Linked DNA regions of Ovis aries. The protein of the gene in region 1 interacts with the protein of each later gene in a biochemical or structural test. Links are inferred from orthologs where the notes say so. Each region holds a gene or a part of one and is shown on either strand. Other genes may lie near its edges. The genes, in order: ZFP36 and YWHAB.

Region 1 (4,028 bases):
AACCTGCAAGAATGAACTTTCCACCATAATAACTGCACTCCGTGGCAATGATTTATTTCTACCACCGTATTTTCAGTCAGGGCAGCCAGCTCTGGAGACCCCCTTTAAAAATTAGTGTTTTTACCATATCTTAAGAGAGCATCACTCAGGGCAACTCCTTTACAATAAAAGACTTGTCAATGAGGGGAGTGATTTCTGCAAACGCAGAGTTCTTTCAAGGCACATCCCTTTATGAGAGTCCCATCCGACCATCAGTTGGGGATGATCCATTTCTTCCATTTGAGACAGCTTTCCAGCAAAGAAACCCTCCATCATAATAAAAGATCTCCCCCTTTCCAATCTTGAGTTTTCTTGAGTGCAAACTCCCTTTAATATGATTTAAGGCCCTGGTATTAAGCTAATGCCATTCACTAACAATAACTTGGCCTCTTCATGCCTGGGTTTCCCTGTGTTTAAAATGGGCATAATACCTCCTTGGGTTAATGTATGTAAGACACTTTCTGCAATTGTGCCTAGCCCAGAGGAAGCCATCAGAAGCGCCATTATTTGTGTGAGGGTGAGAGGACACAGCGGTCCTGTATTTGGGAAATGAGGCCCCTTTCCAACCTCACCAGGTGTGTGGGACCCCACCTCACCCCCAATCCTCGTGAATGGGAGCAAAGAGGGCGGTCCAGGTCTCAGGATCTGGGCAGTTCGGGAGCAAGACCGTCCAGGATTGGGGAGGCTCTTCTCTCACTGTTTTGCTCCTGCGGATTTCTGTCTGTGGATGTTTGTTTCTTCCAGTTTTCGCCCCTTCTCTATTTGTACGACTCTCCCTCCCTCCCGCTTCTCGCTCTGAATTTGTCTCTTTGGGGACTGTCTACGTCTCTTTTCAAGCTCTGCCTTCCCACCTCCCCTCCTCTCCTCACCCTGTCTCCCCCGCTCTGTGCATGTCTCCCTGTGTGCGTAGCTCCCCCCGTGTGTGTGTGTGCCCCCATGTTTTTCTCTTTGCGTCCCTCCATTTCTCTCTTGCTCTCGGTTCGCCTCTCCCCGCCCCTGTCGATCAGTGTCGCGCGCGCACGCCCTCTCCGCCTCTGCCCTTGTCAATTCCCCCGGGAGCCCTGCCCCCACCTCCGTCCCGGTTCCCTTCTCCGCGCCTCAGTCTCCAGCCTTGAAAACTGGGCCGACACCCCCACCCCCCACCTCACGCACTCCCCGCGGGGTCGCGACCGCCCGCGGGCCCCGCTCAGGCGAATTCGGGCCGGGATCCAGGCGGAAGGGCTCCGAACTCGGGCCGGCAGTGCTGCGCTGGGGGCGCGCGTCCGGGAAGCGCCCCTCCTCGCCCCGCCCTCCCGGGGCCAACTCCCCTTGGCCCCGCCTCCCCTCTGGTCGAATAAAAGTGGCGGCTCTTCCACTCCACCGCAGCGTGACTTCAGCGCTCCCACTTTCCGTCGGCTCTACATCCTTCGGCCATCTGCGCCGCCATGGATCTCGCCGCCATCTACAAGGTGAGCCCCCCAACCGATCGGCACCCCGACGTCCGCAACACCTGACTCCCTTCTCAAACCAGGGCTTTCTAGGGCCGCAAACAAATTCCTGCCCCGGACCAGCCCTCCCCGCACCGGTTTCCCTTCTCAAACTGGAACTCCTTAGCGCTTCACACCGGCCCGGGGTTCCTGCCTCCCGGATCAGATCAGTGTGATCCTCTGGGGATGAAAATGGAGCCTGTGGCTTTCTGATCTCGGCCCCAACACGAGTGGGGTGGCCCTCGGAGATGGAAAGCTGGAGAACTTTTCTCAGACCGGGGCTGTCTGGAGGCGGAAATGGCCCCCACACCTGGATTACCCGAGTAGTTGCTGAGGGCGCGGTTTTGCGCGGAGGCGTTTCTGGGGCTGGAGTCTCAGGGTGAGCGGGAGCTGACTTCTGTCTCTTCGCTCCCTGCCCCAGAGGATCTTGGAATTCTAAACCCGAAGAGATCCGGACTCCTGGCTTAATTTTGCCCGCTGTTCCACTTGTGAAATTGGAGAAACCGATGAGTGGGGTCAGATCCCGAGAGGCCCAGAGGCTTAAAAAATTGGAGAACAGCAGTCTGTCCTGACTTTAGGGCCCCTCTGATCCAGCCGGGGGAGCCGAGATTAGTGGGTCCCTCGGGATGAGCTTAAATCGCGAATAAACCTCCAAATCGGGATCCCTGAGATCCGGAACCCGAGGTTTGTTTTTTTTTTTTTTTTCCCTTAGGGCGGGTGGGGCTGAGGCCGGGAGCCCACAAACCGGACTGGCAAGCCCTTGGTTGCCCTGCAGCTGGGGCGGGGCGTCACCCTGTATTTTCGGTGTCTTAACCGATCGTTGTTTCCACAGAGCCTCCTGTCGCTGAGCCCTGAACTGCCATCCGACCTCGGAGAGACTGAGTCCAGCACCAGCTGGGCTTCCTCGGGACCCTGGAGCCTCAGCTCATCCGACTCCAGCCTGCCTGAGGCCGCTGCCCGCCTGCCTGGCCGCTCCACCAGCCTGGTGGAGGGTCGCAGCTGCGGCTGGGTGCCCCCACCCCCAGGCTTTGCGCCCCTGGCTCCTCGACCCAGCTCGGAGCTGTCGCCCTCACCCACCTCGCCTACCGCGACTCCCACCACCTCATCCCGCTACAAGACTGAACTATGTCGGACCTTCTCAGAAAGCGGGCGCTGCCGCTATGGGGCCAAGTGCCAGTTTGCCCATGGCCTGGGTGAGCTGCGCCAGCCCAGTCGCCACCCCAAGTATAAGACGGAGCTCTGCCACAAGTTCTACCTCCAGGGTCGCTGCCCCTACGGTTCGCGCTGCCACTTCATCCACAACCCCAGCGAGGACCTGGCTGCCCCCGGCCATCCCCATGTGCTGCGCCAGAGCATCAGTTTCTCAGGGCTGCCCTCGGGCCGCCGAACCTCGCCACCACCAGCAAGCTTAGCAGGCCCTTCCGTGCCCTCATGGTCCTTCTCGCCCTCCAGCTCCCCACCACCGCCACCCGGGGACCTTCCACTTTCACCCTCTGCTTTCTCTGCTGCCCCCGGGACACCTGTGTCCCGAAGGGACCCCACCCCAGCCTGTTGCCCTTCCTGCCGAAGGGCCACCCCCAACAGCGTCTGGGGGCCTGTGGGTGGCCTAGCTCGGAGCCCTTCTGCACACTCCCTGGGATCTGATCCCGACGAATATGCCAGCAGCGGCAGCAGCCTGGGGGGATCCGACTCACCTGTCTTTGAGGCTGGGGTTTTTGGGCCACCTCAGCCACCTGCCGCCCCTCGGCGACTTCCCATCTTCAATCGTATCTCCGTTTCGGAGTGACAAGTGCCTGCCTAGTACAGATCAGCTGGATCTTAAGGGGGGCCATTTTTCTTGTGCGTGGGTTCCACAAGGGGTCCCGGGGCTGTAGGGAACTGAGGGACTCGTAATCATGTAGTTCTCCCCACCTTCCAAAGTGCATTAACTCACTCCCCTGACCCCCGCGCTGGGGCAGGTCCTCAGCGTGCAGGCTGTTTGGGAAGGAGTGTTTTATGGGGTCTTTTAAAAAAAATGTAGCAAGTTTGAGGGAGGTAGTAAGCCTCTTCAACTTCACCCCTGCCCAATGCTGTGAATAATAAGCCCCCAATGCCCTCTTCCAGTTACTTCCTAGATCCTGGGGCTCCAGTGTCGTGATTGGAGCCTCACCTGAAAGGGAATCCTGGTGCTCAAACTTCCCTCCAAAAGCAAGTAGCCAAAGCCATTGCCAACGCCCGGCTCTCCCACCCCCGCCTTTGGGCCCTTTATTTATGACGACTTTATTTATTCTAATAGATTTTATAGTATTTATATATATTGGGTCGTCTGCTTCCCTTGTATTTTTCTTCCTCTTTTTGTAATATTGGAAACGATGAAATAATTATTGTTATAAGTATACACTATAATATATTAAGTAATATATATTGTTAAAAATTTATTTTTGTGGTTTTCTGGAATTTTTAAATAAATCTGTGTGTAAATTGGAATCCCGGCTGTTGTGCGGTCTTGAGGCAGTAAGATGGGAGGGGTGGACGGTGTGGCCT
Region 2 (4,318 bases), on another chromosome or scaffold:
ACAGTCATTCCTTGGTTTCAGCCGATTGTTGCCACACAGAAATGTAGACAGAGATGCAGAGATGCAGATTTTCCCTCACAAAGATATCTCTCAATCTTTAAAAAAAATGTTGGCAACTAACACCAATGGTTTAGAAAGACTGAAACTGGCATATTGAGAGGATAAGGAACTGAGGATTTGGGGTGGGAAGAAACAGCAAGGAGAAGCTGAAAGATGAGGGCAGCTTCTGGAGAACCTTGACTGTCACATTCAAGGAGCTTATCGATTGTCTTCAAGGTCTGAGTGATCACCGAACATATTAAGAAAGAAGAGGCACCAGTTAGAACGGGGTTTTTCAACAATCACTTTGGCAGTTGATGGGAGCAGGTCTGAGGGAAGGACGATGCATTAGAAGTTGATCAAAACCTAAGTAAAGTTAAAGGAGAAATGACAAGGACTATTTACTTTGTTCTGTCTCCTACCAGCCTGTAAACTCCAACACAGCAGGGCCCCTTCTGCCTTGTTCTTGCTTTGTTTCCAACATCCAACATAAAGCCTGCTTAATAAGTATTTGCTGAAAGAATGAATGATGGGGGTGGGGTGGGGTGGGGGGAGTAGAGGTGAGGCATTTTGAAGAACTGCCTTGGGAAGTGCTTAATGTTGATAAAGGGTGAGAGCAGTCATGAGGAGTAGGAGGCAGAGAAGGCCTGGTTCCTTTCGTTAAACTTCCTTTAAGATCTTGAGTAGAGAGTATTCGGGAATCCCTGATAGCTCAGTTGGTAAAGAATCTGCCTGCAATACAGGAGACCCTATTCCTGGGTCAGGAAGATCCCCTGGAGAAGGGAAAGGCTACCCACTCCAGTATTCTGGCCTGGAGAATTCCATGGGCTGTATGTATAGCCTGTGGGGTCGCAAAGAGTCGGACACCACTGAGCGATCATCGGCAGTCTGATTCCCGGTTTCCTCAGTCCATAAAATGACGTACCTTGAAGGACGGAAGGGAGGACTAAAGAAAACTCTATGGATGAGCAATTGCAGTCCTTCCCTAAATCTAGTATTTCCAGAGCACGCAGCAATAGGGGGCTGACTTGCACCTCCGATCCCGTGACGACTCCTTTCGGGGAGGGGTGGGAACCAACGACCTCGGACACTGGGCCTGGCCCCGGCGAGCTCCGAGCCTAAGCCTCAGGCCCGCCAAGCCCCAAGCCTCGCCCAGTGCCCCCAGTTTCCACACAGCCCCTTTCTAGAGCCCTCTCAGCCCCGCCTGCACTCCGCCCACCTCCTTCTTCCGCTCCCCCCTCCATTTCCGTACCCCCCCGCCCAAGCCCGCCTCCTCCGTGCTCCCGGGCCAGACCCCCGCCGCGCCCCGCCCCGGCCGCGGCACCCCTGCCCTCCGCTCTCCTCCCTCCTCTTTCGGGCGGCGCCCCTCTTGGGCGGCCGGGGCGACCCCGTGCCCCGCTCGCCCAATGAAGAGGCGGCGCAGGGGCGGGGCTCGAGCCGGAGCGGAAGTGGTGACCGGAGCGGAAGTGGAGCCGCCGCAGCCGCCGATTCCGGAGCCGGGGTAGCTGCCGCCGCCGCCTCTGCAGCCGCCGCCGCCGCCGCCGGAGGAGTGGGATTGGGGAGGAAGCGGTCACTGCGCCCGGAGCTCTGCTCGCAAGGTTCTCTGCCCCCTGCAGTCCTCCCACGGTGAGTGCGGCGCGGGGTCCGCCCGAGGCCCCCAGGGGCCCGAGCCCACGGCTCCCCCATCACTGGCAGCGGCGGCGGCGGCGGCGAGGGCGACCTCCCGGGTGGGCTTCGGGGGCGGCGGCGCGCGGCCTTCTCGGCCCCGCGAGGCCGCCCGCTGCGCGGGCTCTGCCTCACCGCGGCCCCTCCCTGTTTCCGGGGCCGGGCCCGTCGTTCTGGGAGAGGCCCGGGCCACCCTCGCCGCCCGCGGCCCTGCCCGGCGGGCGGGGTGCGGCTCCCCATACCAGGCGGGAACGGACGAGGAGTCGCGGACTCCCGACTCTTCCTCACGACCCAGCCTCGATCCCCGCGCGACCTTTCCCTGCACCTTGAGCGGCCAGATCGTACCCTTTCAGCTCGGTCACCCTCGTTCCTCGCTTTCCGGTTTTCAAAAATGAAAATGTAACCAAATGCAGGCGAGCTTTCAGGCCCAATTCCTCTGTTCGTTACCCGCACCCCCCGCCCCCCGGGATGGGTAACAGGTTTAACCTTGGGAGAGAGCAAAGGGAAAACCCCCCTCCCACTTTGCAGTAAAGCCATTTCATCATCATTCGCTGGTTTGGGAGCCTGGCAGGACCCGAGATTCCCTAGGAGGCACAGGGTTGAGATTTGTATCAAGAAAATGCATTTGCTGGAACTGGTTACTGAGTCAGGCCGGATCCCCAGGAAAAAAAATAAAATGTCTGAGGCTCAGAATTGGAATATTTTCCCAACGGCATTTACCGTCATTTAATGCCAGAGTCATTGTGTCCTCGCCCCAAATTCCCCATACTGTGTGTTAACGCGACTTTAGGACTGAAATTTGCCTGGTGGCCTCCCTGGTGGTGGCGAAGGGGTGGGAGTAATTAAGACCCTTTTCTGCACAGAATGAGTGCATCTTTGTCTATTGCAAATGGAGAACTCTGCGTGTAATGGGGCTTTGAAAGGTGGCAGTATTGGTAAGACAGGTTGCCAACCTTTCTGTAAAATTTTTGTCTCTTGTCCTTGCCATCACTGCTTTTCCCTTTAGTAAGGCTAGATCGCATCAGGTTCTGATTTTACTTGCCCTGTGTGGGAGAGAGGATTTGGCAAGATTCTATTATGAACATAGAACATCAGGCGGCCACGGGAGCCAGAACAGAAAGATGAAGCACTTGGAAGAATATGAAAAATTGTCTGCATTTCTCAGTCTATCTCAATTGTTCATATGAAACCACACACACACGCAGCTTACAGAACTAGACACATGGGTACTCTGCTTTTTGCCTTTTCATGTTAGAAATTTATGTATTAATATGTGTTCTTGATTCTTGGTCATTTCCTTCTTGACTGCTTCCAGGGCACTCCATTTCTTGTTTAGGAATGTGTCAGTTGCCTGAGCCCTCATTTTTAGCACACATGGTGAGCATGAAACCTGGCATTGTGCTGGACCCAAGTTAGAATTTTCCAGGTGATCTTCATGGTGGAAAGCTAATCCAGTAGCCACTGCTGAACTGTTTCTCTGTTACCTCCTTTCAGTGAGATAAGAAACCCTTCACCTGTCTTACAGATGAAATCCTTCAGAGAAAGGAGATGATTTGGCCTAGACCACACACCTGGTTTCCAAGTTGAATATCCTCCTTCATCAGTAGCAAATATTTATGGCCTGTCAGTCCCAGGAGTGTGGCTCCTACCCTATAATCTTCTGTACATTTCCCATCAGGCAGTGCTTGTGTTAGGTTGGAGCCATTTTAGAATCAGAGCTCTATAGATTGGGGAGGCAGCCTCCAGAGAGCCAGGCTGAGCACATTCCCATAATGCTAGTTCTTGAGGCAGAGTCTCCGGAGATTTGGGCCGCTGCAAAAAGTGTATTTTGCCCGGCTGTGGGTGTGAAGCAGGAGGAGCACTGGACTCGGAGTCAGGTAAATTCGATTCCACCCTTCCTTGCAGCATTTTCTAGTTGTGGGATCTTCAGTGTTCTGCTTAATCTCTGGTTCCTGGTTTCTCTATCTCCAGGTTTGTCAAGAGACCTTTTTACAAACTGTAAACTGTTAAATATAAGCTTTTGTGTTTTAATCACAGAGTTCACTGTTAAGGGCTTTTCCCCCCTTGGTTGCATTCTGATGAGACCCAATGTTACTTTGTATACATGTTGCTTTAAAAAAAAAAAAAACTGGTATGGTATTATGGAACTGCATTGTGGACCAATTTTCTCATTGGTCAGTGCACACGGTAGTAGTCTTTGATGTATTATTGTGACAAACTCAGTAATTAAAATAAGGGTGTGAAATCTACCTGATGTTTAATAAATGTTATTTGACTATATTTGTGAGTATACATATATATAGATAAGACACATGCATATGTGCTATAATGCATAGGCACATAGAGAGTCCATCCAATGTTTATTCATCAACTGATGAGGTGGTATCAAGCTGTAATAGTAATAATAGCTGTTGTTTATATGTGCCAAGCTTTGTTCTGAGCACTCTACACGTATTAACTAAGTCTTCATAACAACCTATGACAGGTAAGTACTGCTAGCCCCGTTTTAGTTGAGGAAACTGAGGCACAGAGAAGTTAAATAATTTCCCTGGAGGCATACACACACGCAGCACTGGGTCAGTGCCAGAGCCAGGAATCAAACCCAGGCAGTCTG

Evidence for each region.
Region 2: the proteins of ZFP36 (region 1) and YWHAB form a complex in vitro, tested with the Homo sapiens proteins (2 studies listed by BioGRID). The link is inferred for Ovis aries from reciprocal best matches to the Homo sapiens genes ZFP36 and YWHAB.

The regions. Positions count from the first base shown.
Region 1 is NC_056067.1:48,457,426-48,461,453, forward strand, and holds ZFP36 (mRNA decay activator protein ZFP36), read left to right. Parts: upstream 1-1,463; coding exon 1,464-1,487; intron 1,488-2,337; coding exon 2,338-3,291; downstream 3,292-4,028. UniProt on the Homo sapiens protein: Zinc-finger RNA-binding protein that destabilizes several cytoplasmic AU-rich element (ARE)-containing mRNA transcripts by promoting their poly(A) tail removal or deadenylation, and hence provide a mechanism for attenuating protein synthesis.
Region 2 is NC_056066.1:73,240,309-73,244,626, forward strand, and holds the start of YWHAB (14-3-3 protein beta/alpha), read left to right. Parts: upstream 1-1,483; 5' UTR 1,484-1,665; intron 1,666-4,318. UniProt on the Homo sapiens protein: Adapter protein implicated in the regulation of a large spectrum of both general and specialized signaling pathways. Binds to a large number of partners, usually by recognition of a phosphoserine or phosphothreonine motif.